Linked DNA regions of Tribolium castaneum. The protein of the gene in region 1 purifies or fractionates together with the protein of each later gene. This does not show direct contact. Links are inferred from orthologs where the notes say so. Each region holds a gene or a part of one and is shown on either strand. Other genes may lie near its edges. The genes, in order: Mad1 and mad2.

The links.
Region 2: the proteins of Mad1 (region 1) and mad2 purify together in Drosophila melanogaster (affinity purification with mass spectrometry; 4 studies listed by BioGRID, with this or other methods). This does not show direct contact. The link is inferred for Tribolium castaneum from reciprocal best matches to the Drosophila melanogaster genes Mad1 and mad2.

The regions. Positions count from the first base shown.
Region 1 is NC_087396.1:23,432,123-23,448,158, reverse strand, and holds the end of Mad1 (mitotic spindle assembly checkpoint protein MAD1), read left to right. Parts: intron 1-13,147; 5' UTR 13,148-13,244; coding exon 13,245-13,691; intron 13,692-13,739; coding exon 13,740-13,956; intron 13,957-14,014; coding exon 14,015-14,151; intron 14,152-14,200; coding exon 14,201-14,575; intron 14,576-14,627; coding exon 14,628-14,958; intron 14,959-15,012; coding exon 15,013-15,245; intron 15,246-15,306; coding exon 15,307-15,762; 3' UTR 15,763-15,815; downstream 15,816-16,036.
Region 2 is NC_087398.1:3,478,939-3,494,199, reverse strand, and holds mad2 (mitotic spindle assembly checkpoint protein MAD2A), read right to left. Parts: upstream 9,633-15,261; 5' UTR 9,527-9,632; coding exon 9,451-9,526; intron 9,403-9,450; coding exon 9,256-9,402; intron 9,207-9,255; coding exon 8,812-9,206; 3' UTR 8,742-8,811; downstream 1-8,741. Other genes in the region: uncharacterized protein LOC103313241, read left to right, coding at 3,927-4,080, 4,180-4,194, 4,300-4,574, 6,880-6,985, 7,078-7,201.

The DNA.
Region 1 (16,036 bases):
CCTGGCCCAGAAGTAACATTCTATACTCTACTTTGCCCGCCAGCGAGATAAACATTTACACAAAATACATCAAGTGCAAATGTCTGCTAGGGAATTAACTATTGCTTACTGATCGAAAATAAAGCCAGATTATTACAGCGAAAGCTCCTATCAGCGGACACCTCTCCACAACGGACAACTAGAGATTCTCCATTGAGAAGAGGTTTTACTGTATCGGGAAACAATTTCCACTCCAATTCCAACTTTACGGATCGAAAATGAAGCCAGATTATTACAGCAAAACCTCCCATCAGCGGACACCTCTCCACAACGGACAACTAGAGAATATCCATTGGTGTTCGTTGTTGAGAGGTTTTACTGTATCGGGAAACAATTTTCACTTTAATTTCAAACTTTGAGGCTGGCTATTTTAATTTTGTCAAATATTAAAGCCGTTCTTTGGAAAACAGAATTAAACAAAACGCATTGTTTTCCAAGTTTCAAATTGTTGCTCACCGTCGTGTCAGACAAAAGCTATTTGTAGGTTTGCAAAGCCCAGTTTTCGCGATAAACTCCGCCACAGTATTCAAACATCTAAGTTGCTGTTCATCTGAGTTAGATTAGATCTTGTGATGCAGTTTGGAATTGTGGTGCCACTAAGAAACCAGATACCGGGTGTTCGTTTATTTATTTTGCACCCTTGATGAAATGTAAGAGCTTGTGGTTGAACGGTCGGGTCGTGTAACATATGGAAGGCCATTAAAAAGATGGGTCATTGTCTCGTTTGCGGTCCGTGGAGCAGTGGCTTAATTATTACATTTGTTTTGCCAAGTTTATCCCCGGGCGCGTCCTTTTTGCGGGAAACGTAATTAATTCCGAGATGGTAAACGTGGAAATAATTTATTCAAATTCGATGTGCATAATAAGGAGAAATTCAAGAGGAGGGCACAAATAAATCCCACAAACTGATGGAGTTTTTTTGCGGGGTTTGCACACTTAATTAGTGTGGAGTGAATTAAGAGCTGCGGTATGAAATTTTGAACGCCACAAGAATTGTGTTGCGGTTCGAATAAAAAATCACGCGGTGTGAAAACGCGAAAATTCTCAGTCAGGGTGTTTATGAACACTGTTATTTCTTTGCCGGCCATAGAACTGGCAGGTTTATACGCCACTATTTGCATTTTTTAACTTCTTGGTTTATAAGATCGCTGAACGTGAATGTGGTTCTAAAGCGATTTGTGTCGTTTGTTTTCAAGTAATCGTCTGAAATTAAAATAAGTCTTTAGCTTTTCTGTAGCAATTTTTGTCGTTCTTAAGCAAGAAATCGTCCGAAATCATTGTTTTCAACTAAACTAGTGCTTAAGTCGGCGTTTTTGACACCAGATTATTACAATTTCAAAGTTTTTACAACAATTTTTGATCAAAAAATGGTTAAGAAATGCCTGGTTTTTACAAAACCAAAACTTAAGTTGTTGTTTTCAGCTACAATAAAACTATTTCAGAATTTTTAAAGCGTTCGTTCGAAATCAAATACTTTTAAACTAAATTCTTGCTTAAATCACCAAAATAGAGTTTCTGTAACGATTTTTGACCAAGAAATGGTTTAAAATTAACAAAAGCTCATTTCGAAAACACTCTATACTTGAAAGTAATTTTAGGTGAGTCAAAGAGTTGCTAGTAAATGATTAATTTTCTAACATTAATTTTCACATCGCTGGGACTGACTATATATATATATATATATATATTTTATTACTGTTTATTATGATTAGAAATGATTTGGAAATCAACGTTTTGTCTATTATACGACAGTCATCATCAGGCTAACAATACATTCGTATAAAAAATAAAAAAAAATTGACATATTATTATGAAATAAAATTTGAAAAATAATGGTAGCATCAATTGTTTTTTCTAAATTTTAATCTTCAATCTTTATTTCAATCTTCGGCTAGACTTCGACTAGAATTCGCCTCATAATGTTGAATATTTATTTATTTGTTTTCTTTTTCTTTAATAAAGACCTATTATTATTATTATTATTATTATTATTATTATTCATAATGTCATGGCAAAAAAGTTTATCTATTTTTTATACAAATGTATTGTTAGCCTGATGTTGACTGTCGTATAATAGACGAAACGTTGCGTAACAATCGTTGTTTCATTGATAGTTCTCTATCAGTTATTTATTTAACCTAGGATTAAGCATACAAGATAACGTTTTACTATCGATTACCTTAAAACATTATACAATGTGTTTTTAAATAATTCTTATCTAGTTGTTTGTGAATTTTTTTGTAAAATTAGAAAATGCCACTTCATATAACTAACGATAGACACTAGACATCGAATATTATCAATTATCATTCTTCATTTATTAAGTCTCCAATTCGGAAATAAGCTTTGATAACAAAAGCGTTTTTTTTTCACGGTGTAATAATTTAGTTGCATTTTAACAAGATTTTTTAAAGAAATTAATTGAATTTCTCAACTGACAGATTTAACATCTATTGACAGATGATTCAACTGAGCAGAGCGGTACAAATTTTTTTACATAAAAAACAATTTTAAAGTTAATTAGATGAGAATCATTTAATTATCGTCCGAAATCATTGTTTTCAACTAAGAATATTACGATTTCAGAGTTTTTACAACAATTTCTGATCAAAAAATGGTTAAGAAATGCTTGTTTTTTACAAAACCAAAACTTAAGTTGTTGTTTTCAGCCACAATAAAACGATATCAAACTTTCCAAAGCGTCTGTTTGAAATAAATACTTTTAAACTAAATTTTTGCTTAAATCACCAAAATATAACGACTTTAGAGTTTCTGTAACGATTTTTGATCAAAAAATGGTTTTAGAATTAACAAAAGCTTATTTCGGAAACACTCTGTTCACTGAAAAATAGTTTTAGGTGAGTCAAAGAGTTGCTAGTAAATGATTAATTTTCTAACATTAGTTTTCACATCGCTGGGACAGACTGCATGCTGGAGTTTTTAATAAAAATAATTTCGGCCGCCGTTTATTAGGATTAGAAATAATTTGGAACAGCGTTATTATAGACTTTTTTTAGGAGATGGATGTTTGCTCCGGTGCTTTTAGTGCATTAGCCGATTTTTTGCAGGGTTGGGCGTTTGTGCAACATTTTCAGTAGTTAACAACCCCAAATTTCCGAAACGCGTCCCGGAGCTTGTAATGATTTGGCAGCCGAGTTGGCAGTTTTGCGAAAGGCCTCTTCGTGATCTTTTCTAATAGATCTTCTGTTTCTGAAAGCAATGAAGCGTGTCAGTGTCTGTCGGTCAGTTCCGGGTCTTGAAAGGGCCGATCGTTGCCTGCGCTGGATTCTAATCCGGCCAGGAAATGTGCTGGATGGAGAAGGATGTTGCGTACTCGCACAAAATGGGGATAAAGTTATACCAGGACAAGGAATCAATCAATGATCATTTTCGCAAATGCCTGATTCATTTATCGGCTCTGAAAAATGTGTACAAAAAAACTCCGCTTAGGATTTTTCGTAATGCGCTCTAAAGCATCAGCGTCTATAAAGGATATAACTTTTTTATGGGCATTTCGGTCAGTTCATTTCAATCAACAACGCTATCGATTCGAGGATCCTCCAGTTTTTAAGTTTCTTGAAAAGTTGGACTCTTTTATCAAGTGAAATAAATTCTGAAAGTTAACCACTGTTTCGTTCGATTTGCGTCCAGAATTTGCATTCGCTCGCTTGCGAGTGAGTTCCGAACGTGGTCACGAGTTCAGCTACCAAACGCTGAATTACGGTTTAACACCTGAAGGATTACAAATACAAACCACACACGTGCTGAGCTATATTCTCACACGAACGCCTCTGAATGACACGTTTTTCGCATAATGGAATTACGTGATTTGAACGAAAACTAGGCCAATGATCTTATTAACAAATCAACTGATTATCCGAACGAGTGCCATCGATTAACTCGCGCACACAAAAGAGGATTAAATCTTTTACACCGGCTGATATTTATTATCACTGCATAACCGGACCCACTTCATATAATACCAATTTGTGGTACTCGCAGAATTCCAAGTGCTTCATTTAGCCTAATTGCCTTATCGGGATTATAAATCTTGGCGAACTGCAAATTACTCAAAACGGAACGCTTTTTATTAATTGGGACCGGATTTTAACTCGCAATTTTTAAGCTCGGAATAAATCTGTTGTGCGAAACTTTTTTTTTTATTTCTGTTGTATTGTTTTTTAATCTCAAATGCAAATAAACAAGTTAATAAACCATCGAGCTACACCGTGACATTTCATCCGTTAGTTAATTTAATCCGCGAAATTAATTAGTTATTAATATTTTACAAATACGTCAAAATGTTGCGAATTTTTTTATTTCTGCTAACAACAGTAAAATTATTCAACCAAATTTAAATTAGTGAGTACTTGCTCAAGTTTTCAACTTTGAGTCAATTTGATTAAAAAAGTTTTGCTGCAGGGATGACTGAAGCCAGAAAAAGAACTGGATGTGTAATTTTTTTGTCTAGATCAACCTTTTTAACGATTCAAAATTTTTTCCATTTTATGTTATTATTTATGTTGAAAGTAAACAGAATAATATTCGCAACAACGACGAGGCCGAACAGGCCTCGATTTTTCTCTTGAAACTTTTCTGCACATAAGCGAAAGCCGATACTCCTGCAATGAATAGTATTATCCAGAGCAGTGAGTGTGCTTTTAACGGAAATATGAGTATTTTCTGTGATCTTTGTTGTAATAATTGCGAGTAAATTTCCAGTTTTGAAAACGAACTTGATACGCTTGAAACAATTGTAGATAAAATCTTGTATAATACTCGTAATGTAATAAAAAGTCAAGTATTCTGAGCATCAAAATTAAGGCAATTATTCTACAATCAGCGTCAGAATGCGCAACAAAATTCTCCCAGTGACATCATTCGTGTTGGAAGTAAAACTATCCCGCGGTAACAAAGGGAATTTCGTTTGTGTGGCTTTCTCATAATCACATTAATTTCCAAACTAAATCAACTTCCGGAGAATCGAGTCACTTCCAACATTTCTCGACTCTTTTTCCCCAAATATGGCCTTGGTTCATTTATCACAAAATTATTCTGTAATAAGCTAATAATTTTTGACCCGACTATTAATTTGCAGTGTTGGCAACTCTTCGAAATCAGAGGATTAGAAATGGTGTTTTATTTTGTCGTTTGAGTTTGATGCATAGGTCTGCTCTAATTTTCTCGGATTATGTTGATATTTTTACTCGAAAATCCGCCCCAACACGTGGCCAACCGTGAATAATGGATTAATTAGAATTATCGAAGCATAAATAATGATCACCAATACTTCAACCACGCGCCCATTATGTTACGTAATTAATTTCAGCGACTCCTTACGTTTCATACAAATCGACCTATTTGACAGATACAAAGCACTTTTGGTGCAACCAACGAACCAATTAATTGTCGCATGTGAGGCATACATTTAGGACACGACTTTTATTTTCCTTCAGCAGTGTTTAATTGAAATCGTCTAACATTTTCGGTTCAGTTCGCATTGTCAGAATATGCGAAACGCTACAATTTAAAACGTAATTAAACTGCAAGCACTTGCAATAAGCAATCAAGGGAAATTTGCATATATTTTCGCGCTAATTCGACAGTGCCTTGAGACTCTATGCCAGTCTCGTAGCGCGAATTGTTTGTTTTGTCCCGAATAAGAAATGTCTTGGCGATAGTTTGTTCTGCGGAATTAATTTACTGGAGGAATTCGGTATAGATTACTCTTTCTCGGTTACTGATTAAACGTCAACAGGTTTAATTACACAGTTTAAAAAATCAATTTAAATGCGAGCCAAAAACACAGTTCCGCGAATTTATTTCGATTTAGAGTTTTCCGCCAGTTTTTAATAATGCAGAAATGCATGAGGTAAACATTTTAAACTACAAGCCAATTTTGTACCGAAACCCATTCGATTTTATCACCGATAAAGCTAAATAATTCGATAAAAAGACTGCCGGCCTTAAAATACTGAAATATTTTATATTCGCAAAGTTTCATGTCATTTTATCTCTACTTTTTTATTTTGGAACTCTTGTGAAGTTCGCTAGGTTTTAAATTGCGCCACGAGCAAATTTAAACGGAAACTTTATCATTCGTTGAGGATTTTGCCGCAAGGGATAACGGGAAATGTATGTAGTAAATGGTTCAACTTCAAAATTTTAATTAACTCTGTATTTATTTATTTACTTAATCGAATTGGCATCAAAATATGTGCGTTTACTGGTAACGGCAAAACCTGAAATCGCTTTTATTCTGCACCAGTTGTGTCGAAATCAGTTAATTTTTAACCACTTTTTAACCACAAAAATCGTTAAAAAAACTCTAAAATCGTTATATTCCGGTGAAGAAAACGACGATTTTGGCACAAATTTTGTTAAAAACAGTTGATTTTTAACCAGTTTTTGGTCAAAAATCGTTAAAAAAACTCTAAAATCGTTATATTCCGGTGAAGAAAATGACGATTTTGGCACAAATTTTGTTAAAAACAGTTGATTTTTAACCATTTTTTGGTCAAAAAATCGTTAAAAAAACTCGGAAATCGTTATATTCCGGGGAAGAAATCAACGGTTTAATCAGAAATTTTGTTAAAACGTTTTAACCATTTTTGGGTCAAAAATCGTTAAAAAAACTCTAAAATCGTTATATTCCGGTGAAAAATTCGACGATTTAAGCAGAAGTTTTGTTAAAATCAGTTGATCATTAACCATTTCTTGGACAAAAATTGTTGAAAAAACTCTAAAATCGTTATATTCTGATGAAAGAATTGATAATTTTTGTCCCCAATTTTTTTGAAGTCAGTTAATTTTAAACCATTTCTTGACCAAAGTCGTTGAAGAAACCTTAAGAAAAAGACTACGATTTAAGCACTAAATTGTTGACTTCAGTTGAATTTCAATCACAGCTATGATTTAGAAAAAAGAAAATGTTAACATCTTTATTAATGAACAAGTTATGGAGCCCGAAATTAATGCCAAAAATTCAACCATATTTATCTTCTTCGTTGTGTATTGAAAGTGCGGTTTCAGCAATGATAAATGTTGGATGGCGAATCAATAACAGGCAGTTGAGCTCGTAGTGAATATAAAATCACGCCAAGGTAAAAAAGACAAGTGGTTCTGTCTGCAAGCCTTTCCTCAGATAAGATAAATAAAAATGTCAGCAAACCGTCGGAAAAGTGTCCCAAGTGTATGGTAATTGAAGTGTTAAAATTTTGAATTTTTGCGCTAAATGATTGTACCTACACAAGCCGTTGTGATAATGGAACAACAGTGTAGTTAATGACAACATTAATCATATTACGGTGCTGAATAGATGAGTTTTATTGACGTTGTCGATGTTCATTGAGAGAGACACGAGAATAGTGTCAATTTCGCGAGGTTCGGCTTGTTAATTAATTAACGTTGCGAAAAAACTTACGGGCATGAATTAAAATAAATCTGCCATGTTTTGATACGCATTGATTCATCAAAGGCTAATGCAAATTTTTGTGGGCAAAGCTTTTAGTAACTGCATTATTACCGTGAATTTTTCACAGGCTTTTGATGCATTAGCAACTTTAATAAAAACTTGCGAGAATTAGGTTTCCTCAAATTTTTATTTGTTTTAGTAATGAAAGCGCAGTGTTTGTCGAAAATTTCATTCCCAACCTTTTTAAAATGGATTTCGGGATTTTGCAACAAAAAATTGTGCTGATCCAATAAATTTAAAAAACATAAGCTGGTGACCGCCTAACAACCCTTCTCATGCCACCGGCATTTCCGATATGTATATAAAACTTGCCCCGAACATATCACGGGTCGCATTTATTAACAGAGGCGAGTCCGGAGTGTCCGGCCGATCACCCGGAGCCACTTTATTGCCTCGGACCGGCTAAAACATGACACAATCAGCGAAAAGAGCGCTAAATGTTCTTATCGCAATTAGCAATTGTCCAGGGTTCGGGTAAAAAACGCCGAAATGCTCCGGAATAGCTGATTGAATATTTCAATATTTCGCCCTCATGTCGCTGCTATTTTTTAAAATATACAGCTCGCAGCTCGGATTAAAGCCGCTTTTTCCTCATCCACGTCTAAACTTATAAATTTAAATTTTGCAGTAGCAGTGCCGTGTTTCAAAAAATCTGTTTAATTTTTGTTCAGTCAATTATACAATTAACTGTATCAGTGATTGATGGTGGAGTCACTTCAAAAAAAATTAATTTAATTAAAAAATGGTGGATGTGCCGGGCTATGTATAAAAATTATATCTCAAAAACTAAAAGTTTTTGAGCAAGACGGTTTGTTCCAAAGTATTCTCCTACGGTTCAGTTTACGTATTATTATACTTGACTTTTAACCACTCGCATTTACCGAAGGTTTTAAAGTTTTCATAAAGTAGCGAGCCAAAAGATTTGTTAACGAAACATTTTTTTTTGGTTTATGTTTTTTGAATTAAGTGGACTGTTTGTGTTTTTAATATTATTTATATTACATTAGTTTTTTTACAAAACAAGATTACTCAAGAACTTTTTATTTAAAAAATGGTGGATGCGCCGGGTTACATATTAAAATTTATTTGCAGTTATTTACTAAATGAAATTATAACTTGAAAACTGTAACTCCTAGAGTAAAACAATTTGTTTCATTGTATTTTTCAGTTAATATCATATAGTTCACAAAATTTTTTTCACAACACATGATACTACACAATTATTTAAAACTTATTTTAATTAGAAAAATGGTGGAGGCGCCAGGATTTTTTATTTAAATTATTTGTTCCAAAGGTCATTTGATTTCATTTCCCGTTTTATACTTACTGTTTTTACAATCGAATTTGCCTAAAATTATGTGGTGACGTTACAAAGCATATTTAGTTTTTCATTAAATAATTCATAACTCAAAAACTAACTTGAGCACTTCATAGATTAGCAGTTTATTTATTACCACAAACCTTAAATAAGTTAACTTTGCTTTTACCGACAGTTCTAAAGGTTTAATACAATAACGAGCCAAAAATTACGAAACATTAAGAATTGTTTTTTGTTTCTTAAATCAAATGAATTGTATATGTTACTCGTAATATTATTTTGTTGGTGTTGTTAAATTCTTTCATATTTTTAAGAGCCATAAGCACATTATATATGTAGAAACTAAAGAATTTAAAATGACACATTGTGTTTCAAAAATATTTTTTGAATTTGTATAAATTGGTAAATAGATGATTATTATTTAAGAATATCTTTATTTAATAATTAGCGGTGGCTGTAATGTGTTTAAAAAGTAAATTGGCTCGCTATAATCTTGTATTTGTGACAATATCCTCCAATTATTGAGCTGTTTTAGGATGCAGCCCACACACCCAACCAAATGCATTTTCCGACAAAACAAATTTAATTTTGGTGGATGCGCCGGGTCAGAACCATCACTCGGTTCAATAAATGACAAAATACGTGATTAGCTAATTAAAGTTTTTGTGGTTTGTGGCAACATTTATTAGCTGCTAAATATATGATGCAGTCAGAATTAAAATAATTAATCATATTTCAGTAACTTGATATGAAATTAATGAATTTGTTTTTGCATTTGCACTGCAAATTATTTATGTTTTTATTAATGGCTTTTCGTCACTTTGAATTCGTTATTAAATAGTAGGGTTACTTACGAAATTTGCATCTTAACTCTTGCTCATGTTACCCACTTGAATGCGTTTATAAATCAAGTTTCGTGACTTTATTAAATTTTAAGTAGCGTTTAGGGTTAAGGTAAGTTTGGAATAATTTATAGATGAGACGCTACGATGAAAGATTGCTCAAAACGGAATCGCTCATTCTACAAGAAACAGCCAAAACCAAAAAACGCTTGCTTTCGTTGCCAAAAATTAATTTTTCCAGCCGAGTGGACTTTCATTTGTTAGTGGATGCATCCAGACAGTTCTATTCGAGTCTATTCGTGTGAAACTGTTGCTTATGTTGCATGCACACTCGCATCTAGTACAACTTCAAACATTCAAACATCCTCGCAAAACAATTCTACTAAAACCTGGATTGGCAATATGAGCGCACTCCATTTACTCAAAACTGCAGCGGCAAATTAACAACGCCCGATCGAACAGACGACGCTACTTGTGTTTAAACTTCCGCCGAGCTAAAAAATAAATCACCGTGTCTTCCATAAACAAACCAATCTGACAAGACAACGAGACACGCACAAACACATGTGACGTCAAAGGATTCTTCCACAATTATCTATTCCGCGAAAATTTCACACCCTTCATCATCCGAAAAGATCCAACTTCGTAAGTTGAACGGAGCGCAAATCAGAGCGGTGGGAGTCTTTGAAGCTTGTCATTGTTCAACTAACTTCATGTTCGAATTGCTTGTAACATCGACAATCTAATGTAGACTTGAGTATTGATCCGGAACTTTTTCCTGACAAGTTTCGCTTTAATAATATCCACTCTTGATGGATTGCGTTTAAATCGGGAAAAGTAAAAGTTTCATTAGACAAATTGTGAGCTCGAGAGCGCGCTCGATCTCTCTTATTAAATCACTACTACGAAAATCCGAAAAACCTGGATCTAATTAATAACCAGAGGAAAGTAACCTAATTCAAAGGTGTTAAAAAAAATGTACAAAAACAGAAAATCTGGTAATTTATGTTACATTTTTTATTAGAAAACTTTTGCTTAGTTTTGAATGCCTTATGATTGGAAGTTTACTTTACCGGCGATATCCAATGACAAACGCTTTAATTGTCTTGCAATTTTATGTGCACCAGATAAAACAAGTAGGAGGTGATTTTTATATTTTTATTGGTCAGTTACTCATTTTTGAGACAAATGAGACACCAGTGGACCGGTTTAGGGGCCGGTCTTTCTCACAGAACGAGATTTTGCCTTAAATGCAAAAAAATTGTTGATTCTGCATAGTTTTTGACTTTGTTTCATTTTTTTGACAAAAACACTATTAAATTTACATATTACACAAAAACTAAGAATCCAAAAAAAGTACGACTTTACTTAACTAATTAAAGTCTAACTGTTAGTTTAAAAAAATAATAATTACAATTATAATAATTAAATTCTGAAGTGTTTAGAGCAGGGATGCAATTAAACTTCATATTTTTAGCGACGTTTCGATTTTAATGAAATCATCATCAGGGTACAAGGATACATAATAATGAAAGTAGATGAATTTTTATAAAATTAGAAGATAATTTAATTCTGAAATAGAGTTAGCACGTTTTCAGAAATTAAAAGTTAAAACTATGAAAAAAGAACTTTAACGCTGAGAAACTACAAATGTTTAGACTAAAATTGTGAAAAACTAAAATACTGAAAAACAGAAAAACACAAAAAACACAAAACTGGAAAAGGGAAACATATTTTAAATAAAAAACAATAAACAAAAAAATTAAAAAGGTAAAAAATCTTAAAAACTGGAAAACTGTAAGATTAAAATTTTGTAGATCTAAGTCACTGCAAGAATAATAATTAAAAAACTATGAAACTGCAAAGTAAGAACATTAATAAGATAAGATAGTGAAAAGATACTGAAAAATTAAGAAAATAAATAATGTGAAATACTATGAAACTAAAAGCTGAAATACTAGAAAAACAAAAACAAAAAATCTTTAGGTGTAAAATAAAATAATTTTTAAATTGAAAATTTTAATGTAGTGATTTAATTTAAACTAAATGCAAAATATAAAAAGTATAATAAAAAAGTTCAACATAACTGCAGGATGTTTATTCGAATTGTTCTTCATAAACATACTCAGATGTAATAATATATGTAAATACATTGTCTTAATATACTCAATGATCCAGAGAAACTGAGTATGTTGGCATCAGATTAAATTATTGAATTGCTACCTGAAAGTGTACACTATTGGTATCCTTTAAAATTTAAATTCAGATTGCTAACAGACACAGTATTTCGGGATCAGTCTGTATAAATACATCAGTTTTGTTGGTTTGATTACTTGTCTACAGACTGTTCAGAAAAGCAAAAAAATATAAAAATTTTGCTTGTAACCTTTGACAATAGTCCAATTTTTAAGTCCCTCAAGGCTAAATTTAAACAACTATTTTTCAAAATTTATTCGCGGTTATAAGATATACGGACGTTTGTAAAAGCGGCCCTAACACGTACTTTAACAGTTTGATGTCAAAGTTCTTGATAAGTTTTGAAATTTTTTAAAAGTAATCTCGATTGCATCATAGTTATTAGTAAATTACTCAAACACAAGAGAATTACAAGTGTGCTAAAATTATTTTAAATAAAAAGTCGCATATCTGATATACATAACTATAACTGGAAGTTAACTGATTAAAACTACCATGTAATCATTTAAATTTATAATAATAGTAGGCTTTAATATTGATTAACTTGTATAATACTTGTAGAATACGTTTTTTCGCTTAGTTTCTAAATTAAGCACTCACAAAAAGGACAAACCTTGTTTTTTTAACAGGCATAGGCGTTATAACATTGTGTAAAACAACATAAAAGATTAAGACATAGAGGGACATGGCGAATTTGAAAACTTTGAACCATAGCAAGTCCTAAACTCCCTGCTTTCACAAAATACTAGCTTCGCAACTACAATAAATTTATTTATTATTATGATATACCTATTAATTACTGCACATCATGTTTAACTCGTCTTCATGGGATTTTCAATTACATCCCAAGAACCGTTATCATCTCCAAGGACGGTCTTCATCTCCTAAACATCAAGAAATTCCCTTATTAGAGAAGTTTGTTTGATCCTTCTTGGTGTAATATGATTATATTAATATCTAGAAATCGCAATTAATTGTTGTATAGACACCTTTCAATAACGTTTACCTTAAGATGTTTGATCACAAAAACATCCAAAAATCAAAACAATCGGCTGTTGATAAATTAAAGAATTAAAAAGAGAAGTGTGCGCACGTCGATTACGTATTTTTAGGTGAACCTTCTTTACTTTTAGCAAAATGTGTGACAGATTCCTTTAAATTTACAGATTTCTTTGCAACTGACGCCACCTCTAAGCTGGAGCACACGAACTATTTTAGCCGTTTGCCCCACCCCTCCCAGTGAACACATAATTTGACATAATTTGTATACACTTTCAGGGGCCTGCTCGTAGCTTTCGCGTAGAATGTGATACCACTGAAGTGTGGTTTTGTGAGACAAGTAAAAGTGAGGTTGGTTTCGTCGCCCCTTGTCAAAATGGGCGACAAAGTAGACGACACTATCATAAAGTTGGTGAGGAATTTGAAGTCGACGGTCGAGGACGAGCCCGATTTCACCCTGGGCAGCCCCTACAAACTTTCTCTGAGTTCGGTCTCGAACGACAGCCAATGCAGTTCCGAGGAGTTCCTCAAAGTCAAGCGACCAAAGCGCGAAAGTTTGCTAAATGTGTCCTACGCGGGGTCTCCTCGCGAGATCCGACGTTTGCGGACCGATATCTTGGAGAGTCGGAACACGATTTTGAATTTGGAGAACCGGATCCAACACATGCACAGTGTGCGCAAGGAGGTCGAGTTAATGTACGAGAATGAGACAAAGTTGTTGAAGAAGCAACACGAACATGACCGGAAGAGTATCGAAGAGTTGGAAGCGCAGTTGGTCTCAATCAGGCAAAGGGAAGCCGAGTTGAAGAAACAACTTGCTGAGGTTCCCTGTGTTGTTTTTGTGACAAAAATGTTCATTTTTGATGTCTAGGTGACCAGCAACTACAACATGCTGAAGGTGCAAAAGGACGAAGTGATTGAAGAACTTGAGAAAAGTCTGTCCGAGATGAAGGAAGAGTCGCGGCTTTTTGACGGTGAAGAAAACATTGAAATTGTGGCGTTGAATCGGAAGTTGGCCGAGATGCAAATGATGCTGGACGCCGCTGAAGAAGACGCCGACGCTCAGAAAAAATTAGTGCTTGAATTAGGTAATTAACAGGGACGTAATTATTTCGCAATAATTGTTTTTGTTTTTCGTACAACTAGAGAAACAGTTGGCAGAAAAGAACGCCATAGACAGGGAAATCGAGAAGAAGGAACAAGCGCTCCAAATTGCCAATTTGCGCATAAAAGAGTTGGAATATGCCAAAGAAAATTTTTTGGAATTCCAAGATCAAGCCAAAGTAGTATTTATTGAAATATTTTCCCCGTTTCTCAAATGAATTGTTTTAGAGTCAAGCGAAAAAATTGGCTAACTACAGTGATATGGTCAGGGAAGTTGAAAAACTGAGGGAAGAAAACGTCCGGTTGAAAGACGAAGTTAAGAACAAACTATTACTGGAAGAGGAAGTTCACGATTTGAAGTCACGTTTGGTTAAATATAAAGAACAGGAGAAGAAATTGGCGAATTTAGAAGCTGAAAAAGTTCAAACTGGAATTTATTTAGATGAGTGGCGAGCTGTAGCTCGTGGAATTTGCGAAACAGTGGGTTCGGACTCGTCTTTGCCTCATCTTTTACGTTCAGCTGTTGAAAAATTGCAACAACAGGAGATTTCGTTAACTTCGACCAAAGTTGAATTGGAATCGCAATTAACCGCTGCATTATACGTAAATGTTTATATTTTAAATTAATAAATTATTAGTTGTTTTCTAATTCTAGGACGCCAAAGTTGCAAAAGCTGAGATTGAAAAAAGCCACAAACTTATTTCGGAGCTGAAGAAAACCGGTGAACAAAAACAGGCGCTTTTGCACCGTATGCAGAAAAAACTGTCGTTGGTCAGTCGGGAGAGGGACAGTTATCGGCTTCAGCTCGATTCCTACGAGAAGGATTTAACAATGTCGATAAATCCGTCAACAATTGCAAACTCGAATCAGCTGCAAACTCAGCGGGAGAGAATCGTAGCGTTGGAGAAAATCATCGAAAGTTACAAGGAGTTGAATGCAAAGTTGGAGTCGGATTTGCAAAACACTAATCCTGCGTTGTATTCCGGTACGTCCACGTTTTATTGATTTAAACTGAAAATAAAGATTTGATTTTTTGCAGATAATCCGAACAGTAGAGCCGAACAATTGACGAAATTGCAGGAAGAAGTGGACCAGTTGCGGATGGAAAATGAGATGTTGAAGCAACGTCGAGACCAACTTGAAATTCAATTGGAAAACTACCTTGTAGGCAATGATACGCTCCAAGGGGGCCAGGTTTACCACTTGGCGAACAACCCGCTAGCCGAGTGTTTGGCAGAAAGGGAGAAGTTGGTGGAGAAATTGGAGCAGGAGGTTAATAATTAATACAGTCCTATTTAAGAAACGATAATTTAGCTTGTGATATTTCTTGCAGATTGAGAAATTGAAACGGAAGTTGAAAAACATGTCCGAAGGCATCGATGCGAGTAAGTTAAGCGAGTCGATGTGTCCGCAAGAGGTCCAAGCGTTGAAAGAACAAGTCAAAACGCACGAAGTCCAAACGCAGCGACTCAAAGAATATTTCAAAACGTCGTTTCAGGAATTTCGCAATGTTATCTACATGTTACTTGGTTATAAAATCGATCGGACTCCGACGTCGTTGTATAAACTAACGAATATTTACGCGGAACGGGCCGAGGATCAGTTGTGCTTCCAGTTGAATAGTGAAGGTGATTTAAATTTGCTTGAAAACGAGTTTAGCGCAAGTCTTGAGCAAATGGTCAACTTGCATTTAAGACACCAAAAGTCGATTCCCGTTTTTCTGAGTGCCCTCACTATAGATTTGTTCAACAATAGCACGATGGCAACAAAGACTTATGAGATTGAGTAATTTAATACCATTTTTTAATTAGTTCGCTTAGCAAATATACAGTTTAATAAGAAGGCGAGTTTGGTAATTCAGGTCCTTTAAGCTTCCTTGGACGATTATTTTTTTTATATAAAATCATTTTCTTTTTCACTGAAAAGAAATAAACAACCTGCTTTAGAAAAAAAATCGGGTTAAGTGAGCTCTTGTAACTTGCGAGTTTAGGTGGAATAAAATAGCCAATAAACAAGCACGACTTTATTCAAAAAATAATTTATTAACAAGTGTTTACGCAACA
Region 2 (15,261 bases), on another chromosome or scaffold:
GCAGTCAGCAGGATACACCTCTTCTGAAAATTCGAACGATTTAACGTGTAATCTGAAGGCTCTAGGGAGTCGACAGTGGAAGAAGTTTTATTTCCTTTTTAACGAGAAATTAAACTAGATTCCATGGTAGAAAAAAATAGCATTTCCCAAGATTATGCGAGTAAAAGCCAATTTAAAGGGTGTTTAAGTGATGCCATAACAAAGGAAAAAATGAAAATAAAATATTTTTGTTGTATTTATTTAAGGTAACACATTTTAAAAACTAGCAGAAAACGCATCAAGGTTTTCCTTTTGTCCTATATGGATGCAAAAACATTAGAAACCTTCCCGTAAAAAAACTGTGACTGGAATATGAATTTCTTATTTAAACAAAAATAATTTTATACAGTGTTGGTTAAAAGTCTAGAACAAAAAATCTTATTTTTTTGGCGAAGTTATGAAAAAAATCCTAGATTTTTCGTTGTGTCTAATCTTTTTTACCCTAAATTTTTCTTAATATAACTCCGAGTAGTATGTTTATGTTTTTTATTCGTTCAGTGGCGTAGATGTGGAGGTTCACAAATATTTTTTATAGTACAAATTAAGCCATTAACAAAGTGCTAGACTCATATTTGAGCCTGTGATTAAAAAGACTTTGTTGTTTTTGATCTACAGAATACAGGAAACCAGACGTATTTTTTACGTGTTTGCCGTAAGAAAATTATTATGAAAGAGAAACTGTCATAAATAATGTAAGCATGTTCTGCTGAAATTAAAGTCTTTCTGAAAAAAAAAATGTTTTACGTTCGTTAACAACTGAAAAAAACAACTTTTTAATCTTATTTTCATATTTTTATACATAGTATTTTACCATTCATTCATCTTTTAAAACTCTATTTTGGCGTAATTTCTGAAAGTAGCAAAATTAGAAAAGTGTCATCCACATATAAAAAAATCTATTTTAACATAGATTATTTTGGTATACAGGATGTTTGCTGTAGTTGTAAAAATAGGTTCAGCAATATTTAGGAACAAGTTAACAAAAAGACCTGTATGACGTAAAAAGTCATAAGATATTTAGGATGTATATAGTAGCCAAGATTTTTTTTACTTTACTCGCACACACTTGTAAAAAATAACACAAGTAGGTAGGTATGAGTACATCACACTTTTTTAAATCCAGAGTGAATGAGTTATTCATTAATTCACACAAAGACTATCTTCTGTAAAATCACCACTTTAGTGGAATCTCTACAGACAACCTTTTTTGTGAGTTAATCCCTGGGATTCTTATTAGAATACGTCACAGTTGTTTTTTAAAAATTGTAATTCAAAATTTTCAAAAAAAAAATTTTCGCTGTTCCTGCTCCAAGTCTTCAGTACGCCTTTTTAGTTTTTTACCAGAAAAATTTTAGTTTAATTTTTGTAAAGTACTAATCGTGGAATTAATAAATTGTAAGGAGATGCCACTGAGGAAATAATTTTTGCACAAATAACTTTCCCGAAAACTTGGATCTATAAAAAAAGGCAGTTTCCCCTTGAGTTATCCGCAGATCCAAGCTTTTGTGCGGTCAGTTGGTATAATTTTTTATGCAGAAAAATGCCGAAAAGGGCATTTTCCTGTGTTGGTCCTCCGTGGGCTTTGTTTTATTTGCGGGCGCCTGTTGTATATTCGTGTCGGTGCTAGTTAACATTCTCCCGTGTCCATCGGTTGATTTACGTCTTTTCGGCATCTTTTCCAAAAATGCGTCCTTCTAGTCGTTCGCGGGGAATCCGTCTCAGCTTCTCGGAATGCATTTTGAAGAGTTCGAACGCGTGCTGAATATTAACTTGGAAACAATGCCGTGGAATTCGCTAATAGTTTCGGGCAAACATGCCGAAAAATACGGTCCGGGATGCTCCACCGGATTATTGTATTTTAATTTCCGTCGAGCGGGTGTAATAGATGGTGGCCGTGCGCTGATTTTTTCCTTTCTTCGCGGCTTATTTATGACGATCACGTTCCAACTAGACGAAGGCCAGACGATCTACAGTTATCCGAAAGGAATTTCGGAAATTTCGGCAAACAAAGCGAATTTTCGCGGCCGAAAATGGCGACGAGGCCGGGACGAGGTATTTCGGTAGCACAGGTAAATGCAAGCGAGAAGTGGAGTAAGGACTTGTATAAATAGGATTTCTCCAGTGGCGTGCCCGAAAAATAAACAACGACTAACCCAATTTTTTAAGGGGCTAAGTTTAGGTGGCACCTGTTGGACGCCGAGTCCAACAAAAACTCATAAAAAAATATTTTTATTTGCGTGATTTGTGAAAAAATAAGGGAAAATTTGCGCCGGCTCTACAAAACACCACATGCACAACAACTGAAAAAGTTGAACTCGGTTTTGCCAAGATATTATTTCACAAGAAATTTAAATTTAGTGCTGTTCACAGTTCAGGATAATTCGGTACACATTTGTTTGCCTTTGAGGTCCGGCAGTGGTAATCGGCAAAAGCAAGGAAAATAAGAAAAATGGAACATTAAAGAGCTTAGCACGTTTTTTGCACAAACAAACTGGTGTTCCAGAAATCGAAATATTCCGGACTTGATTGAAAACTGATTCTTGTGGAAAAGTTTCTCCTGACTTCAGATGCAAAGGTCGTTTTTTGATTTAAAATTAGCTTCATTATGGAAAAGTAGTTTTAATAAAAAAATTGAAAAACTACGACTGGGCAAATTTTATTTTTACGTCCTCATATCTCCTTCCTGGAGGTAGTTAGAATTTTTTTTAGAAAAAGAATGAAAACAGAGAATTACAGTTTACTTTTGAATGAAAATATGAGTTTTTGTATTTAACTCAAACAATTCGTGTTTTTAGGTTTGACGTCGAAACAAATTTGGTTTGGATTAGTTTATGTTAGATTTATCAAACTGTTATGTGGAAATTATAATTTTCAGCAAAAATTGCTGACTTCTCATTGTGGTTAAATTTTTTATAAAAAAATACTAAAAAGTTGAAAGAAACTAAAAGATCGTGAGATTGAAATTGTGAAGAACTAAGTGAAAAACTGAAAAAACTATAGAACTAGAAAAGAGAAAAACTAATAAATTGAAACACTTATATTCTAAATAAAAAACCAATTCACTAAGTGACTGAAAAGCTGAAATACTAAAAAAAAACTAAAAAACAGAAAGCTTGAAATTGTGTAGAACTAACAGAAAAATAAATGAGCGAAAAATTCAAAAAAAAAATTTATCACCACAAAGTTAGAACATTTATGAAACTGTAAAACAGAAAATAAAACTGTGAAAAATTTAAGAAGTAAAAATAAAATACCAGGAAAATAATAAACTATAAAACTGATATACTTACTGAGAAACTTAATAACTGTGATGGAAACATTAAAAAACTATACGATTGAAAGACTGGATGCCCGAGGAACAAAAAATCTCTAAATGTGAAATTAAAAAATCTGATGTAAATATTAATAAAAAACTGAATAAATGTATTATTTAAAATAAGAAACTTTAGGATGTTTAAAACACGTTTAGGATACGGGAAGTTGGTCGGTATAGGAATTTAAGAGAAATAAAAATTGTGTCAAATATTTCTAACGAAGCAGGTTTATTTCGAGTTTCAAGAAAAGTCCTCAAAAATTACGGGTTAGGGAAGTTTTTTAAAATCCGGTCTTTAATAATGAATAATAACGATTTGATAACAAAAATATTGATTTATGGATCGGTTTAGAAGAACGTCATTAATTTAATCCGCAAGTAAATGCCTGATTAACTGATGACGTGACCAAATTGAACCAATCAGAAGCTCTCATTCACAAAGTTAACTTTTAACAGCTTATAAACTAAATTAAAAAAAATAACAAGAACATTTTTTTGGTTGGGTCCAGGTGATCCCTAAATTGATGGGAATAATCAAGAATTTTGTTGTAACATTTCCTTTGAACTTTTGCAGCTCCGAAGCCTGTCAGGATCAACGAGAGCGCCTGCCACGCCAGGCACCGAAAATACACGTGTAGAGTCGAGGGATTCCCCTTGCCCACAGTCCAGTGGAAGCACAACAACACGATCCTCCACAACAGGGACCGCGTCCGCATCATTCAGAAAAAGTAGGTAAAGTTACTTCCCGTTTCGGGAGCTTCTCGCTTTGTAAAACCCCATGAAAAACCCGATTTTAATTGGCATTTTTTCCCGCTGTGTCGTCGCAGTGAGGGGAACGATAGGTGAGTGGATGAGTGAGCCGAGCCACCTCATGATGAAATTATATCGCTTGCATGCGCTTTTGCTTCCGCTTTGCTCCTTCCAAAGGTGATTCTTGCGTTTTCCAGGCGAAAAAGTATTCTGGTGGTCGACAAACGCTCGGATACGGGACAGTACACCTGTGTGGCGATTGCAGCGACTGGAGAGGAGGTTTCCTATGTCGTCCGCCGCAACTCGTCGCCGTCGAAGTCCAAGACACACAACTCCAAGCACAAAATGCACTCGACCTCCAGGCCCAAGACGCACAGGATCTTCAGGCCCAACACACACACGACCTCCGGGCCTTTACAGACACCTGGTACCTATACAAGCGATATAGATTTAGCGACACCAGCGCCTGATAGTGAGTTCGCGGGATACACTTGCTTTAGCTGTACTCACGAAAAAATCAACAACTTATCAGAAACAGTCTCATCTATTTAGTTAAATCGACACAGCAGAACGAACTAAATTTACCTTTTTCTACACAAACACAATATAACAAATTAAAATTGCCTTTTTATCCTACAAAGGATGTTACAAAACAATTTGATCAAATTTCGCGCTGATAAACTGTTTTCAAAGCTGTATCCATACTTTTTTTAATTGGCGGTATTAGATAAAGTGTAGACTGCAGTTGTGTTTTCAACCTAAAATTAAAAAGCAGCGAACTTCGGATGCACCAAAAAGTACAATATTATACAATAAATAAGAATAAAATTTGCAGTCATTTCTTAGTTTTTTAGTTTCTCACAGTTATAATTTAATAATTAGGTGCTGTATGTATAGTTAAAACATTAACTACCAGAAAAAATCAAGTCCTACTCTAAGACAAAAAAATAATTAATAAGATGAGCCGGAAAAACAGGCCAAACTTTTCTAATCGAACCTAAAATTGTCCATTTTTTAGCAAATGCGAGACAAATATTTCAGCAAAACCCAAGTAACTTTAAAATTTCTACTACAAAGATTCGAATTGAGAGTTTAGATACATTTGAAATAATAATTATGTAATTTAGCACAAATCGTAGTACGCAAGATTACTAAAAATACTACTGGCACTTTTCTCATGTTTTCATAGGTTTTTTACCCAGGACAGGTTTTTCGATGTCTTGTCCTGTTGTACGTTTATGTCCTGCTTTTTCATAAACAAACCCAAATGTCCCGATTTTGAGATTTTACTCGGAATAAAGGCATTTTATTCAGAAAATAAATATGCATTTATAAATTGAATCTAATACAGAATAATAAGATGTTTCGCTAAAATACTAGAAAGTTTTTCATCATCCTTAAAATGATCTTTAATTTTATGTCAATATGTATTTTACATTTTATATTTTCATTATCATTAACATCTTAATTTTGAGATTTCTGAAGTTGGTCTCTTTAACTTCCAAAAGTTTTCGAGACCATTGTTTTATTTATCGGTCATTTTCAACGGAATAAATCAAAAAAACTTTGTCGTATAACTGATTACATCAACTCTAAGTATCTTCTTTCACGCAATTTTAAAAGGTTTGCACCTAATGTACGGACCTGAAGGACATAGATATTCTACTGTTCTTCACAGCTACTCTTCGTTAAAAGTTTTTTGCGCAAAATTAATGTTATTTATTCATTAACGTAGATAACATTGTGATTCTGCTAATGAACATTTTTAAAATCTGTCTAGTTTTTACCTTTTATCTTCGTTGTAAAAGTTGGTCAACACATTATTATTGTCACATAACATCAAGAAATATTAAGAACTTAGAAGTATCTAATAAAAACAAGCACCATATGAAATAAAGAATATAGAGTCACATTTCCTGCAATACGATGTTACAGAAAAAATTGTGCCTAGAGTTAGGGTAGGTAAAAGTATTCTAATGTTTTATAAAGGCGTTTCAAAGCTACTTAGTTACTTTACTAATGAACCAGAAATACAAACCAAATCGTACCTACCATTTTTTATAGTTCGTCCAAGCTGGGTATTTTTGCAATAATAGTTAAAATTAACTCTCAATAATTATAGACGGCTCCATTCCAGAAGTAAGTAATTTTTTTTCAACTTTTTGGAAAATTTTTGACCCACTCGTTAATTATCTAAAGGCCGAATTTTTACAGCCCTTAGAACTCAAAGCCTTTTACAGCCTTATTTTGGAAAAAAAACGTCAAAAAATTGTTTTGTTTCTGGAAAACTTTTGACCCACTCGTTATTTATCTAGAAGTCGAATTTTCACAGCTTTTAGAACTGAAAGTCTTTTTTACAGCCTTATTTTGATAAAAAATATTGTCAACAAATTGTTTATTTTTGTAAAATAATGTCAAAAAAAACGAAGGCACGTAAAAAAGCACGTACTTGCGCTTAATTAGTTATTTATTAGATTTAATTTGTCGCTCGACTTATAATAATACGATTAGTGATTGGCACAAGCGCAAAAAGGCGCGAGCAAAGTGTTTGGTCCTTTAATGCGCGCTCGGCTGCCAAAAGTGCATCGCATCGCGAAAAATCCGTGAATAATAATCTCGTCAAGCGCCACCCGTATTACACAATCCTATTGGCACTTTGACAGGTCGTACACACTCCCATAAACAAAATCGGTCGTGTGTACGTTGCCAAAACGCTGCTTTCCTAACGCTGGGTCATCTAACGCTTTTATGTAATCGCGCGAATTTTCTGGTTGCAGGAGAACCCTGCAAGGAAGACATGCGAGAGAACTTTTGTCATAATGGGGGCACTTGCTTTGCCACGAGAATCACAGGCGGCAAAGTACCGAATTCCTATGATTGTGTGTAAGTATTAAGGCGGCGGACGGACAACACCGCCGACAGATGGCGCCAAGCGCCGCCGCCGGCTCGAATTACACGGACTTTTCTGGTTTCAGGTGTCCTCCCGGGTACACGGGTCATAGATGTGAGGGGAAAATGTCCGATCAATCCAGTAGGTATCGACAGACACCTATATTCACTTGTAAGATAGGCCTCTTTACGAAATACGATGATTGCTAGAGAAATTATTCCATTTTTACGAGATGAGAGTTCGTGCTAGACTTGCGTCCGGGAATTAAGCGATTTTTAGTGGATTTTTTAACATCGACGCTGTGTAAATTAACTTGTTACCGTTTGTACATACACCTATGAGGGATGAAAAAAACTCCACTGTATATTTGTAAACTATCCTAATGTATAAGACTGTTGAAAAGCGTACGTTTCTTCTGTTTTTTTGGACAGTCATCGAGCAACCACTAGATAAATAAATGTCCACAATGATCTACGTGGAGTTTCACAGCGTGAACAGAGTTTCATGACTAGAAGTGACGAGCAAGCCGTAGATTATTATCGACATTCATTTACCCACTTTATACCTGATATCGAATTCGTCTAATAAATTTGACCGAAACTCGATTTGGATTTCAGGTAAAAAGCAATGTACCTATAAATATCAGGGACCGACATTTTACTTAATTTTTGTATAAAGTCATGTAGATATATTTATTTATTACATCTATACTCACAACAAAATCTTAAGAATCTTTATTACAAATTCTAAAAAAATAAAAAAATTGTTGTAAACTTATTAATAAACGATGAAAGGAAGGACGTAGTTTTTTTACTATTGGTTTGACCCTATCTGGTACATTGGGGGACAAAAGGACTCTCTATTGGATAAAAAATTATAAAATTAGGTATGTAATCAATTTTGCCTGCTCTCTGTATTAACCAATTCTTTAATAACTGTTTACTAATAACTCTCGAAATTTAATCGACTGTTAGATTTGTTGTGAGTTTCAGATGTCTCTAACTCGCATGTCCCTCTCAAATAGCAATACGTAGACGTAAACCTTAACACAAACCTCTCAACTACCGGGGAAAAACCGACTCTTGTACACGTTCCCTTTTATGTTTCAGGCAAAAAAGCGACCGATTCGGTAAGGTAGTGTTGACTTTGCACGTTTTCGCACTAACACTGTGTAGTTTAGAGGGTGTGTGGTTTCGAAACTCCAGTTGCTAATCACTCAGTAATAATTGTTTGATTTGTTCCAGTATTGTGAGGGAGCGGAAAAGAGCGACAAGGCTGGATAACCCTATACCAAAGAAAATTGCATTACAGAGGATGTAGATACTCGTTTAATTTATTTGATTTGGAGAAAAACGCACAATGTAGTAGTCGATGTGTAATAATTTTTTTATCATGTTAGCAACAATGTTATGTAAATCTCAGTGTTGTTAAAGATACTCGCATATTGTGATAACGATAAATGGCGCTATTAGTTGAGTGAAAACTTAGAAGTTTAGGTCGAAATCTCGAACCATTTGTCGTGACTGTAGTTAAGTTTTATATGCTTGAAAAATAAAAGAAATGTTACTTCTTTTATAAACTTTATTAATTATAAATATATTTAAATAAACGCAGAAAACGTTATCTTTGAGTGAGTTTGCCCCAAGTCCTAGAATACTTCAATGAAGGTTGTTACCTTCAAGTCAATAAAAAAACACAAATGTAAAATCATAATCCTTTTTTTCGATCATTGGTGTTGGAATAAAAATCTTCTGTGTAAAAAAATGTAAATTTATTAAACACACTGAACGCAAAAATCGCTTCCACTTTACACTTAAACCTAGTCCTCATTCTTATAGGTAACGACAGTATCCATCTTATGTAAATTGGTTGAAAAGGACCGCATTTTAACCGACTGTGCATTTTTTACATGGGCTGCTTGGGCCTCAGTCCACTCTCCCGGCAAATCAACATCACTTTTGGTATAAATTTGAATATCAAAGCTACATAAACAGTCCAATAAAGGCAAATAGGCGACCGACGACGCGATTTGTTTCAACACGTCCCTAATCTCGTTTTTAATAGTTTTTAACGGTTTTTCCGACACGGCCCCCCCAGGTTCATCCGCATTCCCCTCATACTCAACATAAAAATCCCAACGTTCCATAACCTCCCGCGTTTTCACGTTCGTTATGATCATTGCAACCCTCGTAACGCACCTTTGTAGTAACCACTCTAAAAATAATACAAAACTAGTCAAAAAAAACTCGCCGGTAACCCAAACCTTTTAATTGCGATAAAGTCGTCGAGAGAAACTCCTTGATCTTGTTGTCGGTAGACATGAGAATCGTCAGACCGTAGTTTTCCACACTTTGAAAGTTCTCGGGTGGGTACAGCCCCCGTTGGAACAAAATCGAGTTGATTCCGAAATCTGCAAGACAGCCATAACCTCATTTTATACAATTGGGGGCAAAATTACTCAAGTAATCGCAAACGATTTCGGCGGAGCCTTTCAGAGTGATCGCTGATTTGTTTTTTGGAGCCACTGCGGCCATTGCGGGGCTGTCTTAACACACACAGATAATTTAGCGGCAAAAAAAGTAACGGTAAAAAGTGAATTCAAACTTTCAAAACTGTCAAACGTCAAGTGGCAGGTTTGCCAATCTCAGCGGATGTAAACAATTTCGAGAACCTTTCCAGAATTTCTACCGGGAAGAGAAATTCGCTGTGTTCCAGAATTTTCCAGGATAACTGTTATGGAAAATTACGCAATGATTTACTAATTTATCGCCAAAAGAACGTTGCTAGATAGGAACCCCAATAAATGACTAAAATTGAGAATGAGACGACAAAAAAATATAAGAATGAATCATCTTTTGCACCCTTTTGACTATTTTTCTAAAAGAATATCTTTGTTTTTTATACTGTTAGGGCGAAAATAATCATTATTATGCATTCTCAATCGAAAATAGATGGAAATCATCCACGAATTTGTTGGAAAAACTAATTTTTGTTAAACCCACGTGTTTTTTTCATAAAACGTTGCTTAACCGATTTATGAGGGAAACAAGGGCAGTAAGACATTTTATAAATTAATTTCCATCTAAATTCAATCAGATTTAGCCCCAAAATTTGCCATTAAACAAAAAGTTTAAAAAATTGGATAATATCTGTTGAATTCACCGTTTTCATCTTTTTTCGTCACGAATTATAACCATTCGCACCCAATTTTTATCAAATCAAATGATATGAATTCGTAGAATTGTAAGGGATGCTTGGGAGGTCCGAATGGTTAGTGTGTGTGAGGGCTTTTAGGGCGAGTGTGAAAGATGGGAAACATGTGTTAAAGATGAATGCCGAATGTCTGGATTTTTAGAAAATAAGTTAGTCTGTAACTGGCTTTTGTAGAGTAAAGTAAAATTAAAAGGTCCTGTTGAGAAGATCGTAGTTTATTTACCCTATAATCCTGACGTAATAAATTATAAACTATAACAATTTATCAGAAGTGGGATCGTGAAAAAAAAAATTATTCGTGGAGACTTAGTTTGGTTTTATTAGTGTTAGTTTGTTAGTGGTCAAAGAAATAAAGGAAAATGACGGACGATAAGAATAAAGAAAGCCCGAAGGAAATCATCCCTCAATCAGGACAGGAATTTTTGAACTTAGAGACAATTTTACAATTAGTGAAGGCAGCGGTGAGCGAAGCGTTACAGGCTCAGACAGGGACAGTGGCGGCGGCGGCGGCGGCGGCGGTTGACCAGGAGGTAGCAGGGTCGCCAGACATACAGGAGTTGTCCAGAGATAAGGAGGCGTCGGGGACGCTGGGGTCGTCTGGAAACGGGGTGGTGTCGGAGACAAGTGGCCTGCAGAACAGTCTTCCGTTGGGCCGGGTGGAGGCGCCTGGGGCGTCGAGAAACATGGGGTATTGCGTAATGCCCGATTTAACGCAAAGTTTACGCGTATTCAATGGAAAAGGAGGTGCATCAGACGCATTACAGTGGTTACAGGACATCAAAACCATGGCGGGACGTCAATTTTGGGGTGATGCAATTTTGTTGGAGGTGGCGCGTCAACACCTCGTAGATAGCGCGTTGTTGTGGTATCGATATCACCAGGATACCTTAACAACGTGGGCAGCGTTTGAGATGCGATTCCGCGAAAATTATACGGATCGAAGAACGCTCGCCGAAAGGTTTAGAGAGATGTCGGAGAGAAAACAAAGAACCAGTGAAAGCGCGGAAGATTATTTTTACGCAAAAATGGCGATGTGTCGCGATTTAAAATTGTCGTTCGCGGAAACGAAAGAAATGCTGCTCACGGGGTTGAAGTCCAGGGAAGTTGCGAGATCTCTGCTGACTGTTCGACACGACGATGAGTGGCAGCTTCTTCGTGATTTGAGGAACAATGAACGGTTGGATTTAATTTCGGTTCCAGAGAGGCGTATTTTGCCAGAGAAGAGAAAGTGTTTTCGCTGTGGAGCAGAGGGCCACATTTCTAAAAACTGTAACACTCCGAGAGTGGAAAATAACACCAAATGTTTTCCGTGTTTTAAGTGCGGGAAAATGGGACACTTCGCGCGCGAGTGCCAAGTACCGGGTCGCGATTCGCGAGAAAGACAAGTAGTAGGGCGAAACGAAAATTCGCAACGGGGTGCTACTGCAAACGAAGTGGCGGCGCAAGTAAAGACAATAAATGCTCAGTCGGACAATCTAAAGTATTTTAAGGACGTGAAAATTAACGGGGTGGAAGTTAGGGGTTACGTGGACATGGGAGCGGAAGTTTGTGTCATCCGGGATGATTATGTACCCAAATTAAAACTTATGTGTGACTGGGACAAGAAGAAGGACGTTACGGGCTACGGCGGTGCAGTTACAAGTGTTTTAGGAGCCGCACAGGTGGATGTAGAAATCGACGGCATCAACGCCCAGATCGAACTCCTGGTGGTGCCGAGGGAAACCCAGGAGATTCCAGTGATAATCGGGCATCCATACACCGAACAGCCGCACATCGAAATTGTAAAAACACCTCACGAACTTATAATAAGAAAATGTGAAGAGAACGGTGCGAATAATGCTCCAAGAACGGTTTTGTGGGCGAGTGAGGCGTCTGTAATTCGAAATAACTTCCTGGGGCACATCACAGTCAGGACACAGACACCAGAAAGTACCCTTTGTGTCGAAGGTGGACTACGCGAGTCGGGAGAGTGGGTACCACGATGTGTAATAAGCACAGACAGGAACGGTGACACGGTGTTACCCATTTTAAATATAAGTGGAAAGGACATAAAAATTGTTGAAAATCAAAGTGTTGCGCGAGGGGACGTGTGTCGAGAATATACACATCGGCGAGATGTTAACACGGAACCTATTGACGCGTGTGAAATCAACACTGATTTGGCCGGGAAAGACGCGGAAAAAGTGTTGGAACTTATAAATGATTATCGAGATTTAGTGGCCCGAAATGTTAAGCAAATTGGATGTACGAATCTAGTAGAAATGGACATTGAATTAACAGACGATAAACCAGTTGTCTATCGACCGTATCGTATGTCGTTTTCCGAAAAAGAACAAGTGCGAAATATAGTGCGCGAATTGAAAGAGGCCGATATAATTGAAGAAACTGATTCTCCATTTGCAAGTCCGGTAATTCTCGTAAAGAAAAAGTCCGGGGAAGTGAGGATGTGTGTCGATTATCGAGCGCTCAATAAGAAAACAGTGAAACAGCACTACCCCTTGCCGTTAATCGACGATCAGCTGGATCGACTTCGGGGCCAAATCTACTTTACCTCAGTGGATTTGTCCATGGGATACCACCAGGTACCAATGTCGAGGGACGCGCGAGGTAAGACGGCTTTCATTACCCCTGATGGGGTCTACTGTTTTAAGAGAATGAGTTTTGGGTTAGCGAATGCGCCCTCGCAGTTTCAAAGATTAATAAACATAGTTCTTGGGAATTTGCGATATGACACTGCGATGGCGTATTTGGACGATATTATTATTCCGTCCAAAACTGTAGAGGAAGGATTAGCTAAGTTAAAATTGTTATTTAATAGATTTAGATACGCGAACTTGACGTTAAACTTGCGAAAATGTTTTTTCTTTATGACAAAAATTGATTATTTGGGTTTTACAATTTCAAAAGAGGGTATTGAACCGGGAAGGGATAAACTTAGGGCAGTGGCTGAGTTTCCGGTACCTACAGACGTACACAAGGTCAGATCGTTTTTGGGGTTGGCTAGTTATTTCAGGCGTTTTGTCCGGAATTTTGCAATTATTGCCCGTCCTCTCAGTGACTTATTAAAAAAAGGAGGTAGTTTTAAATGGGGGGTAATACAGCAAAACGCGTTCGAGTCGTTAAAGAAAGCATTAATGAACAAACCAATCCTTTGCGTTTTCGACACGGGCGCCTATACAGAACTTCATACAGACGCGAGTTCAACGGGGTTAGGTGCCGTGCTTCTGCAGAAACAGAATGACGGAACATTGCGACCGGTGTCATTTTACAGCCGAAAAACGACACCCGAGGAAGCGAAATACCACAGCTATGAACTAGAATGCTTAGCAATTGTAGCGGCACTAGAGAAATTTCGCGTTTATTTGCTAGGGATTCATTTTGTAATTCGTACTGATTGTAACAGTTTAAAATTGTTGGCAAATAAAAAAGATATGCATCCAAGAATAGGGCGTTGGTTTATTAGGTTGTCAGAGTTTGATTATACCGTTGAGTACCACCGGGGCGAAAACAATAAAGTAGCAGACGCCCTTAGCCGAAATGCGGTAGAGGCTGGTCGGGCCGTGCCAGTGGGTGGACTTCCAGATGTCATGGGGATAAAGATAAATACGGATTGGGTAGCGGCATTACAGCGTACCTGCAATGAAACTAAAAGCGTTTTACAGAAATTAGAAGAGGGCGATCAGGCAACGCACTCTAAATTTACGTTATGCAATGGTCGTGTTTATCGGGTAAAAGATGGAAAGTGGCGATTGTATGTACCTGTCGATTTAAGATTTGATATAATTAGTAACGCTCATAGAGAACTTATGCATTTGGGAATAGATAAAACGTTGGACAAAATAAAAGAGAGCTACTATTTTCCAAAAATGCGGGAAGAGGTAGGAAAATATATCAATCGATGCATTAACTGTTTGTATAGTAAGACACCGCGCGGGAGGCAACCGGGAATGCTGCACCCGTTAGACAAAGGCAGTACTCCGTTTCAGGTGGTGCATATCGACCATTTGGGCCCTTTTCCGTCAAGTAAAACAGGAAACAAATACGTATGCGCTATTATAGACGGCTTTAGTAAGTACACAGTATTAAAAGCGCTGCCGGATGTAGGAGCCGAGGGAACTCTTAGTTTTTTGAAAGAATTCGTTTCTAATTATGGAAAGCCCAATAAAATAATTAGCGACAGAGGTACAGCGTTCATTTCGAAGTTGTTCGAAAAATTTTGCGGTGATTGTGAAATCCAACACGTAAAAATTGCAACAGCAAGTCCTAGATCGAATGGACAAGTGGAGAAAGTAAACGACGTGATAATAACATGCTTAAGTACAAGTACGGATGACATAGAAGGTAGTGATTGGGACGAAAAATTAAGCGAAGTACAATGGGCTATTAATAATGCAACCCATTCGGTCACTAAAAGAACGCCTTTTAGTTTGGTCCGGACATACACGCGAGACGGGTTCACTAATAATCCGTTAGCAGCCGAAATACGCGATTTAAATACACGCTTAAATACGGAAGAAGAGCAAAATTTAGTTGCGGATCGGCTGAAAAGAAATGCGGATCGTATGTGCGCGAATTTTAATAAATCGCGGCGTCAGGCTAGGGTTTTCAAGCAAGGGGATTTGGTGTTGGTACGGGCTGAGGTACCGTCGACCGGCCAAAGTCGTAAATTGAGCCCTAAGTATCGAGGACCCTATGAGATTGTTAAATTTATAGGGAATGATAGATATTTAGTGCAAGATATAGAAGGCGAACAACAAAGTAGTCGCTTCTATAAAGGAATTATTTCTGTAGACAGATTAAAATTAGTTAGTAATTTAGAGGAGTAATAATTAAGATAAAGTAGGTTGTACAAGTGTTAAGGGTAATGTTAAATTTTTATCGGAATTTTATTATTAGAAAAATTTGGGGACATAAGTAGAGTGTTTAGTTTCGTTATTTTAAGTTATGGTAAGTGTCATTAGGGGAATGAGTGATTAGATGGTTGGGATGTGTTCTCGAGGACGAGAACATTGTCAGGAAAGGCCGAGTTGATATGAATTCGTAGAATTGTAAGGGA